Danio rerio: one gene and its partners. Each later gene encodes a partner of the first gene's protein in a complex. Links are inferred from orthologs where the notes say so. Each region holds a gene or a part of one and is shown in the gene's direction. Other genes may lie near its edges.

Evidence for each region. Proteins that work in one complex are often made in the same cells at the same time.
Region 2: med16 (region 1) and med18 share a complex: the UniProt entries of both Homo sapiens proteins name them as parts of the mediator complex. The link is inferred for Danio rerio from reciprocal best matches to the Homo sapiens genes MED16 and MED18.
Region 3: the proteins of med16 (region 1) and med25 are in contact, whole or in part, in a cryo-EM structure (PDB 7EMF), measured with the Homo sapiens proteins. The link is inferred for Danio rerio from reciprocal best matches to the Homo sapiens genes MED16 and MED25. Residues at the interface, in NP_005472.2 of Homo sapiens: Cys41, Arg42, Ser92, Ser94, His113, Arg161, Lys163, Phe171, Gly172, Gly173, Lys174, Pro195, Gly485, Tyr486, Ala516, Ala517, Gln520, Val521, Thr524, Arg525, Ile554, Ala555, Ser558, Lys561, Ser562, Leu563, Leu564, Arg565, Pro566, His567; in NP_112235.2 of Homo sapiens: Ala26, Asn27, Gly29, Pro30, Tyr31, Val74, Asp75, Cys76, Ala77, Pro78, Glu79, Val82, Cys84, His85, Pro87, Lys102, Phe103, Met104, Gly105, Gly106, Gly107, Gly108, Glu109, Thr120, Gln123, Leu124, Asp127, Phe128, Tyr151, Leu152.

Annotation. Positions count from the first base shown.
Region 1 is NC_133186.1:14,599,087-14,605,755, forward strand, and holds the start of med16 (mediator of RNA polymerase II transcription subunit 16), read left to right. Parts: upstream 1-2,606; 5' UTR 2,607-2,888; coding exon 2,889-3,030; coding exon of another isoform or gene 3,031-3,072; intron 3,073-3,209; coding exon 3,210-3,317; intron 3,318-6,294; coding exon 6,295-6,464; intron 6,465-6,669. UniProt on the Homo sapiens protein: Component of the Mediator complex, a coactivator involved in the regulated transcription of nearly all RNA polymerase II-dependent genes.
Region 2 is NC_133191.1:7,707,142-7,713,357, reverse strand, and holds med18 (mediator of RNA polymerase II transcription subunit 18), read left to right. Parts: upstream 1-1,731; 5' UTR 1,732-1,997; coding exon 1,998-2,070; intron 2,071-3,842; coding exon 3,843-4,396; 3' UTR 4,397-4,543; downstream 4,544-6,216. UniProt on the Homo sapiens protein: Component of the Mediator complex, a coactivator involved in the regulated transcription of nearly all RNA polymerase II-dependent genes.
Region 3 is NC_133178.1:29,271,025-29,277,368, reverse strand, and holds the start of med25 (mediator of RNA polymerase II transcription subunit 25), read left to right. Parts: upstream 1-1,859; 5' UTR 1,860-2,038; intron 2,039-2,434; 5' UTR 2,435-2,495; coding exon 2,496-2,620; intron 2,621-2,695; coding exon 2,696-2,741; intron 2,742-2,820; coding exon 2,821-2,945; intron 2,946-3,079; coding exon 3,080-3,178; intron 3,179-5,472; coding exon 5,473-5,593; intron 5,594-6,344. UniProt on the Homo sapiens protein: Component of the Mediator complex, a coactivator involved in the regulated transcription of nearly all RNA polymerase II-dependent genes.

The DNA of each region.
Region 1 (6,669 bases):
ACGCCTTCTCACATAACGCTGACACTCTTCAATAAAACAAGACATCAGATACTTGATGATGTCCCACCAGAACCACCCGATGGCAGCAACTGTAAGCTGTTTTACGAATCATCTGTTTACACAACCATTTTCTGAAGCGGAGCGGACTTGGGAGCAGCAGTCAGGAAGCTTTTAATGAGGGAAGCAGTTCCACTCTGGTTTTGCTTCCGTGGTAAGTCACGTGATTTGGCCAAGGGATCTGTTTTTTTTACTCAAAAGTCTAAAGGATTCCACAACAACAAAATTAATGAATGAACGAATAAATAAATATATAAACATATAACATAAATATCATGCGTTTATTGTTGTTTCTGGTTTCTCCAAATCGTATTAATTTATTATTGCGTCACGTCATAATAGAGTGGAAAGGCTATTTAGTACAGCATCTATGGTACAAGTCACGCAGTAGAAGTAAGTAAAGATAAACATGCATAGCGCTTGATTGCGGTGGGGATGACCTCAAAATACGAAATAAGCATATTTTTCATGAGGATTGTTTAGATTTCTGCTATTTTATTAGAGACAATATTATTTGTAGTTCAACTTTGTTTGCAAATGTTTTAATTGAATTTTTACTATACATAATTTACAAATATATTTGCTCAATGTATTCATTCTGTTTGGAAAGTTTAGTACAAATAATTTCAAATACAAGCCATTATTTTATTCATTTTCTCTGCGGTCACCACAGCGGAATGAACCGCCAACTTATCCAGCATATGTTCTACACAGAGAATATCTTTCCAGCTGCAACCAACCCATCCAGTACTGGGGAACATCCATACAGTCTCATTCACACATACATTCAATTCACCTATACCTACCACTTCTTTGAAACCGGAAACCGGAGCACCTGAAGGAAACCCGGGGATAACATGCAAACTCCACACACAAATGCCAACTGAACCAACAGGGACTCGAACCAGTGAACTTCTTGCTGTGAGATCTCAGTGCTGCTAACCACTGAGCCACCATGTCGCCTCAAGTCATTATTTGTGATTTTGAATCAGAATTTAAGCTTTACTTTCCCAGGGATGGGTTGCGGCTGGAAGGGCATCCGCTGCGTAAAACATATGCTGAATGAGTTGGCGGTTCATTCCGCTGTGGCAAACACCATATTAATAAAGGGACTAAGCTGAAAAGAAAATGAATGAATGAGTTGCTTTACTGAAAAATGATAAGCTGTTAGCTGTAAATATTGCCATGTTTTCATTTGATGTGCGTATTATGGAAATAATAATAAGCAAAACAATCTAAATTTGAATTGTGTTAATTTGAATTAGACAATTGTAATTTAATAAATCTGAATTTTTATATGCCGTTAAAAATTGTTTTGAATTTCTTAGTTTGAATTTTCTAACTTGAATATTGAAATGTAAGACAACTGAATTTTTCAAGGCGGAATTTTTTATAGACATATTCTCAAACGTTTGATTTTTTGTGTTAAAATATTACAGTAGGCTATTTTTTGACTGAAATGCATTGAAATCAAAATGTCCAATGGGTGGCGCTAAATCTCTCTTTGTCACTGAATTGTTCATTCACATTCGTTATTTAGACCATATATATATATATATATATATATATATATATATATATATATATATATATATATATATATATATATATATATAGATATATATATATATATATATATATATATATATATATATATATATATATATATATATATATATATATATATATATATATATATATTTCCAGCCCTGAATTTCACAATCTGAATTTCTGGTTTTGAATTTTATGATATTGATTTGGATGTTCTAAATTTCTTCATCTTGAAAATTTGAAACTGTATTTTCACAAACTTAATATCTACAGTCTATGAACTCAGAACACAAACAAATCAGGCTTGAAAAGTTCTTGCATTTCAGATGTTCAATACTCAAGTTATGAAATTCAAATTCAAATGAAGAAAATCAAATTTAAAAGATTTTTAATGTCATAAAAAAATCTGATTTTTAAAATTAAAATTGTTAATAATTCAAATGAATACAATTCAAATTGTGATTGTTTTGGCACATTATTAGCTCTGTACGTCAAACCCTTTCTGAGACACACACACACACACACACACGCACGCACGCACGCACGCACGCACGCACACACACACACACACACATACACACACACACACACACAGAGAGAGAGACTTAAAAGGTTAACTTAAACATATAAATTAAATTATAAAAATGTATAAACAAAAATAAAACGTTTATATAAAAAAAGAGAAAAATAATATATAAATAGCGTACATACATACATACATACATACATACATAGATACATACATACATACATACATACATACATACATACATACATACATACATACATACATACATACATACATACATACATAAAAGCATAGGAACAAAAAAGCCTTTTGTTAATAAATAATGCATAACCATGCATGAGTAAACATTTTTGTTAACGCTTTTATGCTTCAAAAGTAACGTAGATAGACAAATACAGAAATAGATCGGAGCTCCAGCCCAATAGGGGGTGGTAAGTATTAGATGAGTCTTTGAATCCGGAAAGAGTCGACGAATACAGGCGCTCAATGATGTGATGTGCAGCTTCAAAGTGCTATTTGCTGAATTAGAATAGATTTGAAACGCCAGAACAATTTATATTATTAACAAATTAATTTATGTTCGGACTTATTAGCAGGAGCATGTAGTTTTGAGTCTGCCATACCCATCATTTTCTTCTGTTTCTGTACAGTAGCGGTGTTTGCTTTTGTTGTCTCCCGTAGTGATTGTGAACACATTCAAAGGTGTTCATTTGGGGCATCTGTGCTGTAAACAGTAAGTTTCCTTCATTATATGATGGATATCGCATATGTTTGCGAGTGGGAGAAGAGACCCAAGAGCAACCACTGTCCTTCAATCCCTCTGGTGTGCGCCTGGTCATGTAGAAACCTCATCGCTTTCACCACTGACCTGAAGAATGAGGAGGATGACAAAGGTCTGGACAATGCCTTTATTACCAATATTACCACTCCTGTTGGTGAGTTATGAATGGAGGACAAGAAACAACATACATTTTCAATTCGTTTTGGATCCAAAATACATAGAACAATGGTGTTTATTTATGATCAAGCATTATATCAGCAACAACAATCATGTTTTTTTTTTCTGTTGCAGATCTCAGTCATATGATACACATCATTGACACTGATCACCCCTGGGATGTGTACTCCATCAATTCTGGTCACAATGAGATAATTTCCTGCCTAGAATGGGATCAGTCTGGTCAGTCATCATGATGATAAAGATGAAATGGGCTAAACATTTGGCAATATGTGCAGATCATATTTGACAAGTTTTTTTTAGAAGTAAAGTTTCCATTTATTTTAGGTGGGTAGTCTCAGTATTGTAAGGGTAAGCCTAATTTTACTCGATTAATGTACTGCGATGGTCTTAAATCAGTACAGATTAGATACAGAATAATAAAATCTAATATAATATTTATTTTTATTATAGATTTTTTGTAATAATATAATTATTTTATAATTGACATTTGAATCATTTTAGAGTGTTAAAAACATTTGAAGAGAGACGCGTTTCAATGTAAAACCTAAATACTTTTCCAAATCAGGGTTTTTACCATTATCAAATACTAAAACTATTTAAAAAATCTGATAATAAAGAAAAAACTTGTATTAAATGAAAATTACAAATGTTGCTTTAGCAAGTAACAGAACAGAAAAAATATATATAATTTATTAAAATAAAAGTAAATCAAAAAGGCAAATAAAAAAATTATACTTTATATTATAACAAATGAAAACAGTAGTGCAAATAATACAATTGCTAAATTTAATATGAAGCAAAAAAGCCAAATCAAAGTATGAAGAAAAATAATAATAAAAAAGGTATATTCATTTTTATTTAATATTCATAAAACATTTATTAATTAAGTTGTTTATAAAATCAGTTTTAGGGATACTCCTAATAACTGATTAACCCGTTAACTTAAAGCAGGGGTGCCCAAACTCAGTTCTGGAGAGCCGGTGTCCTGCAGATTTTAGTAGGGATGGCTGACGTGAAACTGACGTTTCGACACAGTTTCGAGATCCCGAAGCACAAGTGTTTCGAAACACTGCACCGAAGCATGATCCGAAACACCCAATTCACGTGACTAAAGTGTTTCAAAACACCTGGACACGTGACTAAAATGATTCAAAGCAACAATCAGTTAAGAAGTGTTTCGAGACCTTGCGAATCTGGATGTAACTGCCGGCGTCAGTTTCAAAATCTGTCTCATATGGCCTGGTGGACTGTGCCTGTACACGCTGTTTTTATACTTCCAATGACTTTTGGGTTTGAATCCCGACTTGTACAAATACACCTAAATCATGGTTTTATGTATTTTAATCATGTTTCTGTTTTATGGTGTAGCCTAAATAGATTAAAGCTGAGGATACGCCATCAATATAGCATCATTTTTGTAACACTAAAACAATAATAAATATTTTTACAGTACTGTGATGGTTGGGTTTAGGGTTTGGATAGACGTTAATGAAATACAATAAATGGGAAATTTAATAAATAATATAAATAATTCTTGATACCTTCTGGCCACAACTGTGTCTGATCTAGCAACAACTCTGTTTTAATACCAAAACAAGACATATTTATTTACAAAGTGTTTATTCGGATGTCAGACCAATGTTGAAACAAAACGAAACAAGAACAAAGCATTACCAACTGGTATTAAAGCATTTCAAAAAAGCCGTATCAGCCTGGATTCAAACTCAATATCCCCACATGGAAGTCAGAAACCTTAACCGCTCCACTAAATCTCTTGAATAGATACTTTTACAAAGTGGGGTGTAATACCTCAATTTGCTAAAATGTTCTTGCTGAAGCTGTTTCAGTGCAATACATAAAAATGACCACTAGGTGGTCACCGTAGAGTGGGGTTTCAAAACATTTCGAAGCTTCGACACATTTGCTTCGACTGTTTGTTTCAGTGTTTCATGAAGCCTCGCTTTGCCCACCACTAGATTTTAGCTCCAACTTGCCTCAACACACCTGCATAGATGTTTATAGAAAGCCTTTAAAAAGCTTGATTAGATAGCCCAGGTGTGTCTGATTGGGTTGGAACTAAACTTTGCAGGACACCGGCCCTCCAGGATAGAGTTTGGGCATCCCTGTCTTAAAAGGTGCATTTTAATCTATTATTGGTATCAGTTAAATGATTAAAAATGTATTGTTTTTATTTTATTTAAGTTTGGCTGCATAAATGTGCAACACATATTTGCTTATTCGTGAGACAGTAACATGTGCAACTACATGTGCCCACAGACATATTTTGCCAAAAAAGCAAAATGAAAGAAGGATGATGCTGGTCACAGTTTGACACAGACAAGTCGATGCCAAAGCAGCACTGATGCTGATTGCTAAAAAATGTAGCGGAGCATTAATTAAATGCGGTTGTTATTATGTTTGCATGTTAAAATAAATCAGTATTTTAAAATGCAATATTAAATGTGTCGGACACAAAATAGACACGTCAATTGCTTTGTTTTAAATTAAATAGTAGTTTAATATTAATCTGACCAGTTAGCAGTTAATATTCAGTTAATGAGTGGCAGATTTCGATTGGCAAAATTAACCGAAATGAGCATCCCTAATCAATGTATTTGTTCAAATAAGTCAATAATGTTTGCCTCTTGTTAGGGTTGGGCCGATAGTCGATGCCATCGTCCATCTTCGATGGCCAATAGACAACACAATGCTGAGCTTGCATCGCTGATCCTCCGCCCCATCACAAACCCTCACGCAAAAAATACACACTCAGGCCCCGTTTGCACAAAGACGTCTTAGTGTAAAGATGGCATTTTAGAACGAAATGATCCACATCTCCATCGTGTTTTACCTAGCATTTCTGAACAGCCCTCCGTCCGCTGAAAACGCACATCACGTGACCACACACAAACACACACATACAGACAGAAACAGACAGACATTCACAGACGCAAGTGGTGCTCACTTCAGAGCCACACACTGTCATGCGCTCCTCTGAGTTCCAGAGACAGAGAGTCGTGCATGTTTGACAGTTTATCAAGGGTGTACCACTGGATTGCGTCTCATTATAGTTGTTAAACTTGATATTCAGACATACCGTCATATGCCATCGTCCATCGCGATGGTTTACATTAGACATTGTATGATGCCAAATTGGTCGACATTGCTCAACCCTACCTCTTGTGTGGTTTGCTAGGTTCGAGGTTGTTGTCTGCTGATGGTGATGGTCAGATCAAGTGTTGGGGCATGACAGAGCACCTGGTGAACAGCTGGGAGTGCGCACAGAGCAGCTCAGTGGACGGAGACCCTATTGTAGCACTTTCATGGTTACACAATGGAGTCAAACTCGCCCTGCATGTTGAAAAGGTACAGTATGTGAATTCCCTTACCTGCCACTGTTACTTTTGGCTTGCTTGGTTAGGGCCGGCGAAGCTGATCTTCAGTCTATTGTCCTGCAACTACAGTTTGACATTCTTATTGAACTGGGCTGCATTTCCCAAAAGCTTAGTTAGCCTACAGTATGTAGATTCTAAAAATAATTGTACGATTGATCTTAATGTTATGGTCTGTG
Region 2 (6,216 bases), on another chromosome or scaffold:
TAATAAAATTATAATAATTATAAAAATAAATTAGCCACAAACAAAATACATTTTATAAGCTGTATGTAAGCTTTAAATGTCACAGAACAAACATTTTCAAAATGGCTGCAGCATTTACACTTAAAAGAGGAAATTTAAATATAAAAACACTAACGTTGGCTCTGCTAACTTGGGCTAACTTACTGTTAGCATTTAACACTGTTTATGACAAACAGCACAGGAACGAACAACTTTAAAACGACACATCTTTAAAAGACCAACTTATCTAATGTGTTTGAGGCATTTATTCGCCTATCTGAAGGTGTCAGACTGATAATGTGTGTAAATAAATAAGGACTGACAGAAAAACACAGCACTCGGAGACACACCTTTGGAGCTGGTAACAACACCATAACTGTCTCGATTACAAACACTACTGCATCCAAACGTAAGTAAAAGACACATAATAGTAAATTACATTCATTAGATGTCGACAGGAAGCATTACAGTTGAGCTCATCTTCAACAGCCAGCGATGTCATGCAGCCCTAAGATGGCACGAAACTTCAAAATAAAGGTCTCCACATGTCGATTTATTTTCAAAATAAACGTCACAGTGCATTTAATGTTTTCCACAATAAAAGTTACTCGACTGCTTTGCGTTCATGGTTCATACCATTGGTTCATACGTACGTACTGCATGTAAATGGTAAATATGCATGTTTAAGCTATTTGGAAATAATATGATATGAAATAATAACAATTATTAAAACAATATAATTTTTGGAAAATATGCTTAACGTGAGCTTATAAAACTAGGTATTTATGAGAAATGCACATAACTAAGAAAATGCTAGAAAAAATAAATAATAAAATAACAATATAATAATAATAAATGATGATGATGATGATGATAATAATAACAATATTAATAAAAAAAGTCCTGCCAGTGCACTGAAACGTATAATATACTTAAAGTAACTTCCCTCATTGACTAAATTTTGACACAAAATATAACTTCATTCATTCATTCATTCATTCATTCGTTCATTTTCTTTTTGGCTTAGTCCCTACAGGGAGGGACATTCAACATGCAAAATCCAAACAAAAACGCCAACTGACCCAGACGAGGCTCGAACCAACAACCTTCTTGCTGTGAGGCGACAGCATTACCTACTGCGCCATATGGAAAAGTATACCATTTACTGTCTTTTTCTTTCTTGTATTTAATTAACCAATTAATTTTGAATGTATTGTTTAAAGTTTTAAAAAATGAACACCGATAACCCACCATTGCATTTTTGTTTACACATAATTTTCCATTTTAAAATAGTGATTTCCATTACTCCATAAAAAAAAATATATTGTATTTTAGGAATAGCCTAATTATTTCTTCATGTAGGACATGTTCCAGGATAGATGTCACTCCATGATTGCATTGGCAAAATCACACCCACCTCTTAGAGCCATTAGTTTTTCTGCAAGCAAACACCTTGACTTGAATTTGATCAACAGGGCAATCGGCTTTTCGCAACCATAATTGATGTTCTCCTGCTATTAATAATAGGCTAATAATACTCAATTTTAATACCCATTTTATATGATAAAGAGTTCACTTCAGTCCAGTAGGTGTCACTAAATGCACGCCTAAAAGAATAGAGCAAGCGTTGCACAATGCGCATGCGCAGTACTCGCTATCCATACTGCGCATGCGCTTTACTCACATGGACGCAGTTTCATCGAGACACATTATTTTTTCGTAGTATTTTACGCAAATCATTAGTTTTGTTTATTGCTTTTTGATACAAGTACAATATATGCTATTTTTAATTCATCGTCTGCCTGCTTTTTGTTGATAATATCTTCTAACACGTCTTAGCATGTCTATTGTTGTGGATGTTTTCTACAGCAGTTAAAGTTCTAGTTTAAGTTAATCTTTCAACTGATCGTTGACTGTAAATGTATTAAGAGACTTAAGTTCAGAATTATAATACTAGTAATAGTAATAATAATAGAGTGATGGAGGCTCCGCCGGTTACTGTGATGCCCGTCACGGGTGGAACTATAAACATGATGGAGTATCTTCTGCAAGGTAAACAACACCATCAGCACAACTCCTTTTACCATTCATTCATTCCTATTTATCATTTGTTACACTTTATTAAATAGTTTTAACTTAGTTTTTAAATACCCATTATGAGCAATCTCAATTTTTTAATTAGCAAAGTCATTTGAATAAAGCGTTGAATATGTTAAAGTGAATATGTAATTATAAACAATACACACACATTTTCTAGCGTTTTAAACTATTTTTATTTAACGCACCCTAATCTTCTTTAATTCCTTAAGACTTTTAATTTGGGATTCTGTATAATAAAAACATGTACTACAGTATTACTTTATGAATGTGCTAACGTTATATAAAACGAATAGTTTAGCATAATAATAGTATGTATACAATGTATTCATTGTAGTGTTTGTAGTATTATAATTTACAATTGTTATAATTTAAATTATACAATTATAGCATGCACTGTGCTACACGAGAGTTCTTTTTGCTGAGTCTTATTGTTTGCATAATATAGTTTGCTTATTTGGTCATATATTACCATTCCTACTTAAACCGTTACCAGATTTGTGTGTGTTCGGAGTAAATACATTTTTAACAAAATTATACAGCTAATTCATAAAGTATAATCAATAACACTTTCAAAATATGGTCTCATTAGTAAATCTTAGTTCATACATTAAAACAAAAAGCCACAGTGAGGGATATCGACATTTATTACAGTTAATAAGTTAATGTAAGTAAAAAAATACAACTGAAATGTATTATTTAATAACTAAATTTATTAAAACAATTACATCTTTTTTTTAGTGACTTATTAAGCATTAACTAAGAAATTGACACCACATTGCGAGAAATTGTGACATTACTTGAGACAAATTAGTCACAATTACAATTTTATTTTTATTGATGTATAGGAACAGGCTTAAATTATCTATCTATCTATCTATCTATCTATCTATCTATCTATCTATCTATCTATCTATCTATCTATCTATCTATCTATCTATCTATCTATCTATCTATCTATCTATCCATCCATCCATTCCCCTATCTATCCATTTATCTATCTATCTGTCCGTCCGTCCGTCCGTCTGTCTTTCTGTCTGTCTTTCTGTCTGTCTTTCTGTCTGTCTTTCTGTCTGTCTATCTATCTATCTATCTATCTATCTATCTATCTATCTATCTATCTATCTATCTATCTATCTATCTATCTATCTATCTATCTATCTATCTATCCATCCATCCATTCCCCTATCTGTCTGTCTGTCTGTCCGTCTGTCCGTCCGTCTGTCTATCTGTCTGTCTGTCTGTCCGTCCGTCCCTCCATCCGTCCCTCCCTCCATCCATCCATCCATCCATCCATCCATCCATCCATCCCCCATCCGTCCATCCATCCATCCATCCATCCATCCATCCATCTATCTATCCATCTATCTATCTATCTATCTATCTATCTATCTATCTATCTATCTATCTATCTATCTATCTATCTGTCCGTCCGTCCGTCCGTCCATCCATCTAATCTTCCATCCATCCATCCATCCATCCATCCATCCATCCATCCATCCATCCATCCATCCATCCATCCATCCATCCATCCATCCATCCATCCATCTATCTATCTATCTATCTATCTATCTATCTATCTATCTATCTATCTATCTATCTATCTATCTATCTATCTATCTATCTATCTATCTATTTATGCCCCTAATCTATGCATCCATCCATCCCACCCCCTATCTATCTATCCATCTTGACTTGGCTGTGTTCTGTTGGTTTGTTTGGCACAGGCAGTGTACTGGACCAATCTCTGGAGAGTCTCTTGCATCGCCTCCGGGGCCTGTGTGATAACATGGAGCCTGAGAGCTTTGCTGATCACGAGTTGGTGTATCTCCTGAAAGGTCAGCAGGGCAACCCGTTCATCCTGCGTGCCCGCCGCTCGCTCCTCGACCCCTCCGTCCCCTGGCACCTGCGCTATCTGGGTCAGCCCGAGGTGGGCGACAAAAGCCGTCATGCCCTGGTGCGGAACTGCGTGGACGTGGCAGCCTCGCACAGCTTGCCTGACTTCCTCAATGAGATGGGCTTCCGCATGGACCATGAGTTCGTGGCCAAGGGTCAGGTGTTCCGGAAGGGTGTGATGAAGGTGGTGGTGAGCAAACTGTCGCGTGTGCTGGTTCCTGGAAACACGGATAACACGGAGCCGCTCTCTCTGTCGTATCTTGTTGAGCTGAGCGTTCTGGCTCCTGCGGGACAGGACACTGTGTCTGAGGACATGAGGAGCTTCGCAGAACAGCTCAAACCTCTCGTTCACCTGGAGAAGATTGATCCCAAAAGACTCATGTAGAGAACATGACCTACAGACTGAGATTTTTAATTCGGTGAATAGGTGTTAAGACTGCATTTATTTGGAATATTTTTGATGATTGTTTTCTTTTTTTGTAATTGATGAAATGCTAATTAAAATCTTTAAATAAAAATATTCATTCATTCATTCATTTTCTTTTCGGCTTAGTCCCTTTATTAATCCGGGGTCGCCACAGCGGAATGAACCGCCAACTTATCCAGCAAGTTTTTTACGCAGCGGATGCCCTTCCAGCCGCAACCCATCTCTGGGAAAAAAATAAAAATATGTATTTCAAAAATGTTACTAGTTTTAAACGGTATTTGTCATGTTGTCTCTCTCGCCAAGGTAATGGAGATTTCTGAGACGTTTTATTTCAGTATAGACCTTTTTTTCTTAGAAAGCAAAGTTACCCATTATGCTTTGCATGTATGCTCAAGGAGAATGCTTAGAACTTCCGGTCGGCAGCTGATGCATATAAACAGTCAGTTGGACAGCTTTGAAATGATAGTTTTAATCTATTTTACCAGTTGTTGCTAGATCGGATACGTTTGCGGCCGGAAGTTAACAAGAATTAATTATATTATTTATTAAATTTCCCACTTATTGTATTTTATTAACGTCTACCCCCACCCCAACCCTAAACCCAACCATCCCAGTAATGTAAAAACAGTAGATGTACAGAGTATTATTTATGGTATCTATTAAATTACCCAATAAATTGTATTTTTTAACGCCTACCCCAACCCTAAACCTAACCGTGACAGTAAAAATATTAATAAAATAAAAATATTAATTATTGTTATACAGCGTCATAAAAAAATGCTGCTATATTAATGTGCATATCACACTTCCGGCCGGCCGCATATCTGATCTAGACTTTACCTATTTTCCCTGCTTTTATCATCTTGGAACTAATCCTGTTGTCGATCAGCGCCAACTTCGAGATTTTAAAAAATGCGATCTAATAGGATGGAAAACAACTACTGTGAGGCGTTTTCCCCTCGTTTTCAGAAGCCATCCTGTGCCATTGAAATGAAGCTTCGTCATCGCTAAAGTCAACATTTTCTCTTTCTTTCAAATATATAACCATCCCAAACAAATGTAATTCACCAAAATGTTTGACACACACACACACACGTAGCCTGTACTCTTCCACTAACACACTGATTTAATATCTGTGACAAAATGAAAATAAAGTGACATTTTGAAATGACACAAACTGGGTTAAATACAACACACTAAATAAAACATAAACAGCTCGCGATTAAAATCAACATGCAAATCAGCCAGCAGAGTATCAATAACAGACTTTTATTGCTCATTTTAGTAAACTGCTTGGCTTGCATACCTGTTAAGTGCATGCCAGTAATCTGGTTTGTGTGTGTGTGTGTATGTGTGTACATGTTTTTGTGACATATCAGGACACAAATCTGTATAATGACATGGGTATGATATTACAAAAAGGGGGTGAAATATGAGGACATTGGTGACGTCCTCATTTCTCAAAATGCTTATAAATCACACAGAATGAGTTTAATCAGAGAGTAAAGCTGCACACACTCTCCTGTGATGGTTGGGTTTAGGGGTGGGGTGAGGGCAATACAATATATGGTTTGGACAGTATAAAATGAGTGGAAACCTATGTAATGTCCCCACTTTTCACAAAAAACAAGCATGTGTGTGTGGGTATTGAAGAGCCGCTGAGCTAACAGCTGACAGGCCGAGAAAACACACACACTGTATTTCGGAAGGCAGACACGTGAACTAGGATAATGTTTTTCTCTTGCGCTTAAACCTCATCTGACAGATCATAACAGCTT
Region 3 (6,344 bases), on another chromosome or scaffold:
ATGAACCGCCAACTTATCCAGCAAGTTTTTACACAGCGGATGCCCTTCCAGCCACAACCCATCTCTGGGAAACATTCACACACTTATTCACACACACACACACACACACACACACACACACACACACACTCATACACTATGGACAATTTAGCCTATCCAATTCACCTGTACTACATGTCTTTGGACTGTGGGGGAAACCGGAGCACCTGGAGGAAACCCACTCGAAGGCAGGGAGAACATGCAAACTCCACACAGAAACGCCAACTGAGCCGAGGTTCAAACCAGCAACCCAGCGACCTTCTTGCTGTGAGGCGACACTGCCTACTGCGCCACTGCCTCACCCATAACAATGATTATAATAATTATTATTACTGAATAAGTTTAAATGATGAATTTGTTTAATACTATTTTGAATATATTCTTTCAACCGAATCATGCTCATTTTATTTCATAAAGCTTTTAGATAATTATAAAAATAATAGCGGCGAAGCAGTGGCGCAGTAGGTAGTGCTGTTGCCTCACAGCAAGAAGGTCGCTGGTTTAACCCTCGGCTCAGTTGGCGTTTCTGTGTGGAGTTTGCATGTTCTCCCTGCGTTCGCGTGGGTTTCTTCCGGGTGCTCCGGTTTCCCCCACAGTCCAAAGACATGCGGTACAGGTGAATTGGGTAGGCTAAATTGTCCGTAGTGTGTGTGTGTGTGAATGTGTGTGTGTGTGGATCTTTCCAGAGATGGGTTGTGGCTGGAAGGGCATCTGCTGCATAAAAACTTGCTGGATAAGTTGGCGGTTCATTCCGCTGTGGCGACCCCAGATTAATAATGGGACTAAGCCGACAAGAAAATAAATGAATGAAAAATAATAATAACTAATCATGATAAGAATAATATTAATGATATACCAACAATAATAATAATTGGTAATAATAATTGTTGTTATTATTTTTATGCCTTAAAATAATAATAATAATTATAATTATTTACTATTATTGAAAACGTTTAAATAATGAATTTATTTAATATGATTTTGATTATAGGCCGATTCTTTAAACTGAATCATGCCCATTTTGCTTAAAAAACTTTTATATAATAATAATAATAATAATAATAATAATAAGAAGAAGATAACATGATAATAATAATAAGAAGAAGAAAAAGAAAAAGAATACATGATAATAATAATAATAAAAATGGTAATTCTAATTAATGATAATAGTTAATATTAATACCAACAACAATAATAAAGAAAATTGGTAACAATAAAAAAGTCTTGTTATTATTTCTTAAAATAATTATGGTCATTTTAGATAAGCCTTTAGATAATTACAATAATAATAATAATAGATAATAATGATAAGAATAATATCAATGATATATCACCAATAATAATAATTGGTAATAATAATTAATAATAATTGTATTTATTATTATGCCTTAAAATAATATTGATTATAATTATTTACCATCATTGAAAACATTTAAATAATTAATTTATTTAAGGCAATTTTAAATATATTCCTTAAAATGCCCATTTTGTTTCAGAAAACTTTTAAATAATAATAATAATAATTAATAACAATAATTTGTAATGATAATCATTGATAATAATAAAGATGATGCAATTTGTTATGATCATCGACGAAGCCACTTACTTTCTTAAGCTTTATTTTATTTTATTTTTTTATTATCTAACAATACAATGGCTATGTCCGTGTTTAAACCGCAAAAATAACAATGATTATAATAAGGATGATAATAACAAAGAATGACGACTGAAAAGGACGTCGCTGCTGTTGGTTTCTAAATTGATCATTCATAAATCGATTCACCAGCCCAGTCCACTTTCAAGATCTAAAACCAGACCGTACTGTCGATTGCCGAGCCAAAAATCCCGATGTTTGTTGTCATTACGCTCTACATTTACTTTCAGATGAAGCTTTAATACACAATAAAACTACCAGGGGCTGGTTCGGATATAATCAAGATAAATGACTGAACCGGTTTGTTTTATTCACAGTAAAAGCCAGTTCTACTAATTCTAGCAGGTAAGACACCCGAGCTAAATTAGCATTTGAGGTTAGCGGCTAGCATGCTAAGACCTGTATGAATGGATAGTGTTCACGTTTTACATTTTAATTTATTTGTATTGATATTGTGTTTTTAAGAATTTACTCGTTAATTAGGTAATGATAAGACAAATATATCACATCTAAAATAAGTCTCTTAGGCTTTTTGGCACGGACATAATGAATGATTCAGTTAAAAAAAATTGTTTATGTGTATTACTAACGTTAGGTATTAAGACAGCCAAATATGTATGTCTTGGTTTGGTTTACTTGCATTTAGAATGGAAATAATGTTAAAATAATAGCAAATAACACCAATATAAAGTCATTCATCAATAAAACATTATAAAACATTAATATTTCGTTTTATTCCAGCAAATCTTCTATATGAGTTTGATCTTATATCTGTGTTGGCTGTAGACCAAAGGTGACCCATATGGACCCCACGTCCAAATCTGGGTTGAATCAGGTGTCAGATGTGGTGTTTGTCATTGAAGGAACTGCAAACCTTGGTCCATATTTTGAATCACTTCGGAATAATTACATACTGCCTACTATAGAGTAAGATTTATGACATTCATTACAATACAGTACATTTGTTAGACACTTGAACTGACTTATTTAATATATTTACAGGTATTTTAATGGAGGACCACCGGCTGAAACTGATTTTGGAGGAGATGTGAGTTGGAGGAGTCTGTTTATACCTTCTCTTTACATTTCTGCCATCTCAATTCTGATGATCTTGTTTGTTTTATAAGTATGGTGGCACTCAGTATGGACTGGTGGTATTCAACACAGTGGATTGTGCTCCAGAGTCATATGTCCAGTGCCATGCTCCAACCAGCTCTGCCTTCGAGTTTGTGTCTTGGATTGACAGCATTCAGTAAGGAATCCCATTGTAATCCTATTTTATGTCAGGAAGTCTGGGATAAAGGTTTTAAGTGAATGTCTGCTTTAAAGATATTGTGATTGAAATACTGAGAACAGTTTTAACAGTTTTTTTTTGTTGTTGCACAGGTTCATGGGAGGTGGAGCAGAGAGCTGCAGTCTTATAGCTGAGGGTCTTTCTGTGGCCCTGCAGCTCTTTGACGACTTCAAAAAGATGAGGGAGCAAATGTGAGTTCTTGAACTTGTTCTATGAAATCACAAATCTGCTTTTGAGGGTTTAATCAGCTTGCTTAAGGTATTTTAAAATGACTTTTTTTGAAATGTAAATACAAGAAAAATCTTTGAACACAGCACTATTTATAAAGATTATCAGAACAGAAAGCAGTTGAAGGATGGTGTGTAATAATCAATTATTTGTCTGACTCCACCATAATTAATCAAACACTGTTAAAGTTATTAACATCACTGATAAAGAGAGATAATCTTAAAGCTGTAAAAGAAAGAACATTTCATGTTAAGTTACATGTTTTAATATACAGACAGTAGAATGAAATATATCAACATTATTAGGGCTGCACAATATTGAAAATATGAGACATTGCAATATTTTTTGTTTTCTGTAATATATATAGCGATAAGAGTACAATTTCACCAGGTGAATTGAATAGCTCTATTTAGAAAGATTTTATTCATTTAGATAATATGATGATCAGGTCTTTTTCTATGCACTGCATATACATAAATTATTTTATATATATTCAGATGGAAAAACCTCTGAGTGCCGTCTGAAATGTTTATCAAAAGTTTGAATTTTTTTTTTCAGCTTTCTTTGTTTATGTTGAGATATTTCACTTTAAAGACCAAGAAAAGGTCTTGTTCTTTGCCATAAAATTGGTATTACTGAACATACACACAGGAGCCTGATTAAAAATGCACATTTTAGAGGACAATTTCAGACAGTATTTAGAGGTTTTTGTTTCTAAACTCTTTGTGTGTGTGTGTGTATATATATATATATATATATACACACACACACACACACACACACACACACACACACACACACACACACACACACACACACACACACACAATAGAGCCAGAAAAAAAGTTAAATAAACCATACTTTGTAATTTTCTGGAAAGTTTAACAGTATTTCAGGTACAGAAATTGAACAATCAAGCATAAAATAACATGGTCATCATTTCAATAATTATTAAAAAATAATATTTAATAATTTATCTTTAACTCTTTAATAAATAATTTAATCCTGCAATTTGACTGTTGCGGACACACACACTGTGATATTGATGCTCAAACAATATGATATGCTACCCTAAACATAATGTATACAAAAAAGCTTAGTTTTGATTTTTGCTCTGCTATGCAGCAAAGACAGAGAACAACAGATACATTTCTAGGCATGAGTGAAATACCATTCCCCAAAACCAGCTGAAATGTGAGGAGATAAAGAGGGGGAGATGTAAATATGCATTATAAAGTATGCAATATTATCCTCGGGTCATAACTAAACATTAGTAGATTAATCATTCATTAGAAAACATCAAATGACACTTAATGTGACAGAATGACATAAAAGGAGATCACAAGTAGATAAATTGTGTTTGGTGGAAAGCAAAGTATTGGAGATGTGAGATGTGAAGGAACTCTACCTCACCCAGATGACTCATTCTGTGCTTAGAATGTCCCTATAGTCCTTTATTAGCAAAGAAGGGATCATAAGACTTACATAGTCGTGAATATCATATAGTTAAAAATATAATAGTTTATCAGTCTACATTAATTTGTGCAGAGTTCTTTCCAGTACAACAAAACTAATGACACTGCATTTTTAAGGGATGCCATCATCATGTGCACTACATTATCAGTAAAATGCTGAAGACTAGGGCTGTATAATATATCAAACTAAAATTGATATCAAAAAAAGTGATGTTCACATTAGGGCTGTATGATAATGGGAAAAACTGAAATTGCGATAATGTGTTTTTCTGTGATTATTCATTGATTTATAAGTACAACTGATACTTAAATAGCTCTTTTTTTTAAAGAGATTCTCATTGTAAGCGAGCGTATCTATCTTTAAAATATTATATAAAAATATAAGCATAGCTAAAAACCTCAGAGCAAAGTATACAAAGGGAAAAACAGTGCTTTATGGTTTTCTAGAGAGTCTAAAAGAGCCGGGTACATGAATTGAATAATCAACTGTTATTGTTAAACAACTAAAATGTATAGTTTTAAATGTGTAAATGTTATATTAAGTAATATTTTGGCAACAAAAGTTATAATTTCTTGTTCCTTAATGAATTAATTTCACTGAGTGAAAACTTTCATTCTAAGGTTAAACTTTGCAATGACTCCACAATGCTCTGAGCTGTATATTCTGTACTGAACTGTAATGTGGTCAACTGTAATCTCAATATTGATGCTGAAATGACCTACTGGAGACAATTTTCCTATTATCACTGGTGATTCTTTGATTCTTTTGTTTCTCTATGTAGTGGTCAGACCCACAAGGTGTGTGTACTGCTCTGTAATTCTCCTCCATACTTGCTGCCAGCTGTGGAGAGTGTCAGCTATACGGGCTGCACCGCAGACAGTCTGGTCCAGATCATCCGGGATGTGAGTTTACACTTAGCTTCTTGGTTTATCTGTTATGTCTGTATGTCAGTATGATTTTAAAATAATATAATATTTAGCATTTGCTTGTAATCAAACCATGCATAGTCAGTATAATGCATGATATAATAAGGTGCGGTATGTAAGTTTGACACCTAGTGGTTGAACTAAGTATTACATTCCTGGATTAAAACAAACGTGAGAGAGTCTGACGATCGAGCTTAATCAAAGCAGCCGCACGTGATAGAAAGAATATTTTCCATACTAAAAGGAGTTTTTGTCCTAACTAACACCTTGAATTGATATTTTAGAAATGGCTTCTATTTTTTGCAGCTGAACAACAGAAAACTGATCAGCTCAGGTACACTTCATGTGCTTTATTCAGTGTTAAATAATGTGAGTCTGAATGCCATTTTACATAACATTTATTGCCATACTACTGAAAGCAGCAGCAGATAGTTCACCTCAGATCTTGAAAATAAATTAAAACTGTTTGAAATTGAACTTCAGGGGCCTCATGTATCAACGCTGCGTACGCACAAAAACTTTGCGTACGCCAGGTTTCACGCTCAGAATCGCTCACGTTTGGATTTACTAACAATGAACTGAACGTGGGAATGTGCGCACCTTCACGGCAGCTTTCTGGCAGGCGTACGCACATTTTTTGTGCGTGTCTGTTTTATTTCCATTGGCGACTCCTAGAGGCAGTTATGTTAAATTCCTCTCTACAAAGTGTCTGAGCCTTGCAATGGCA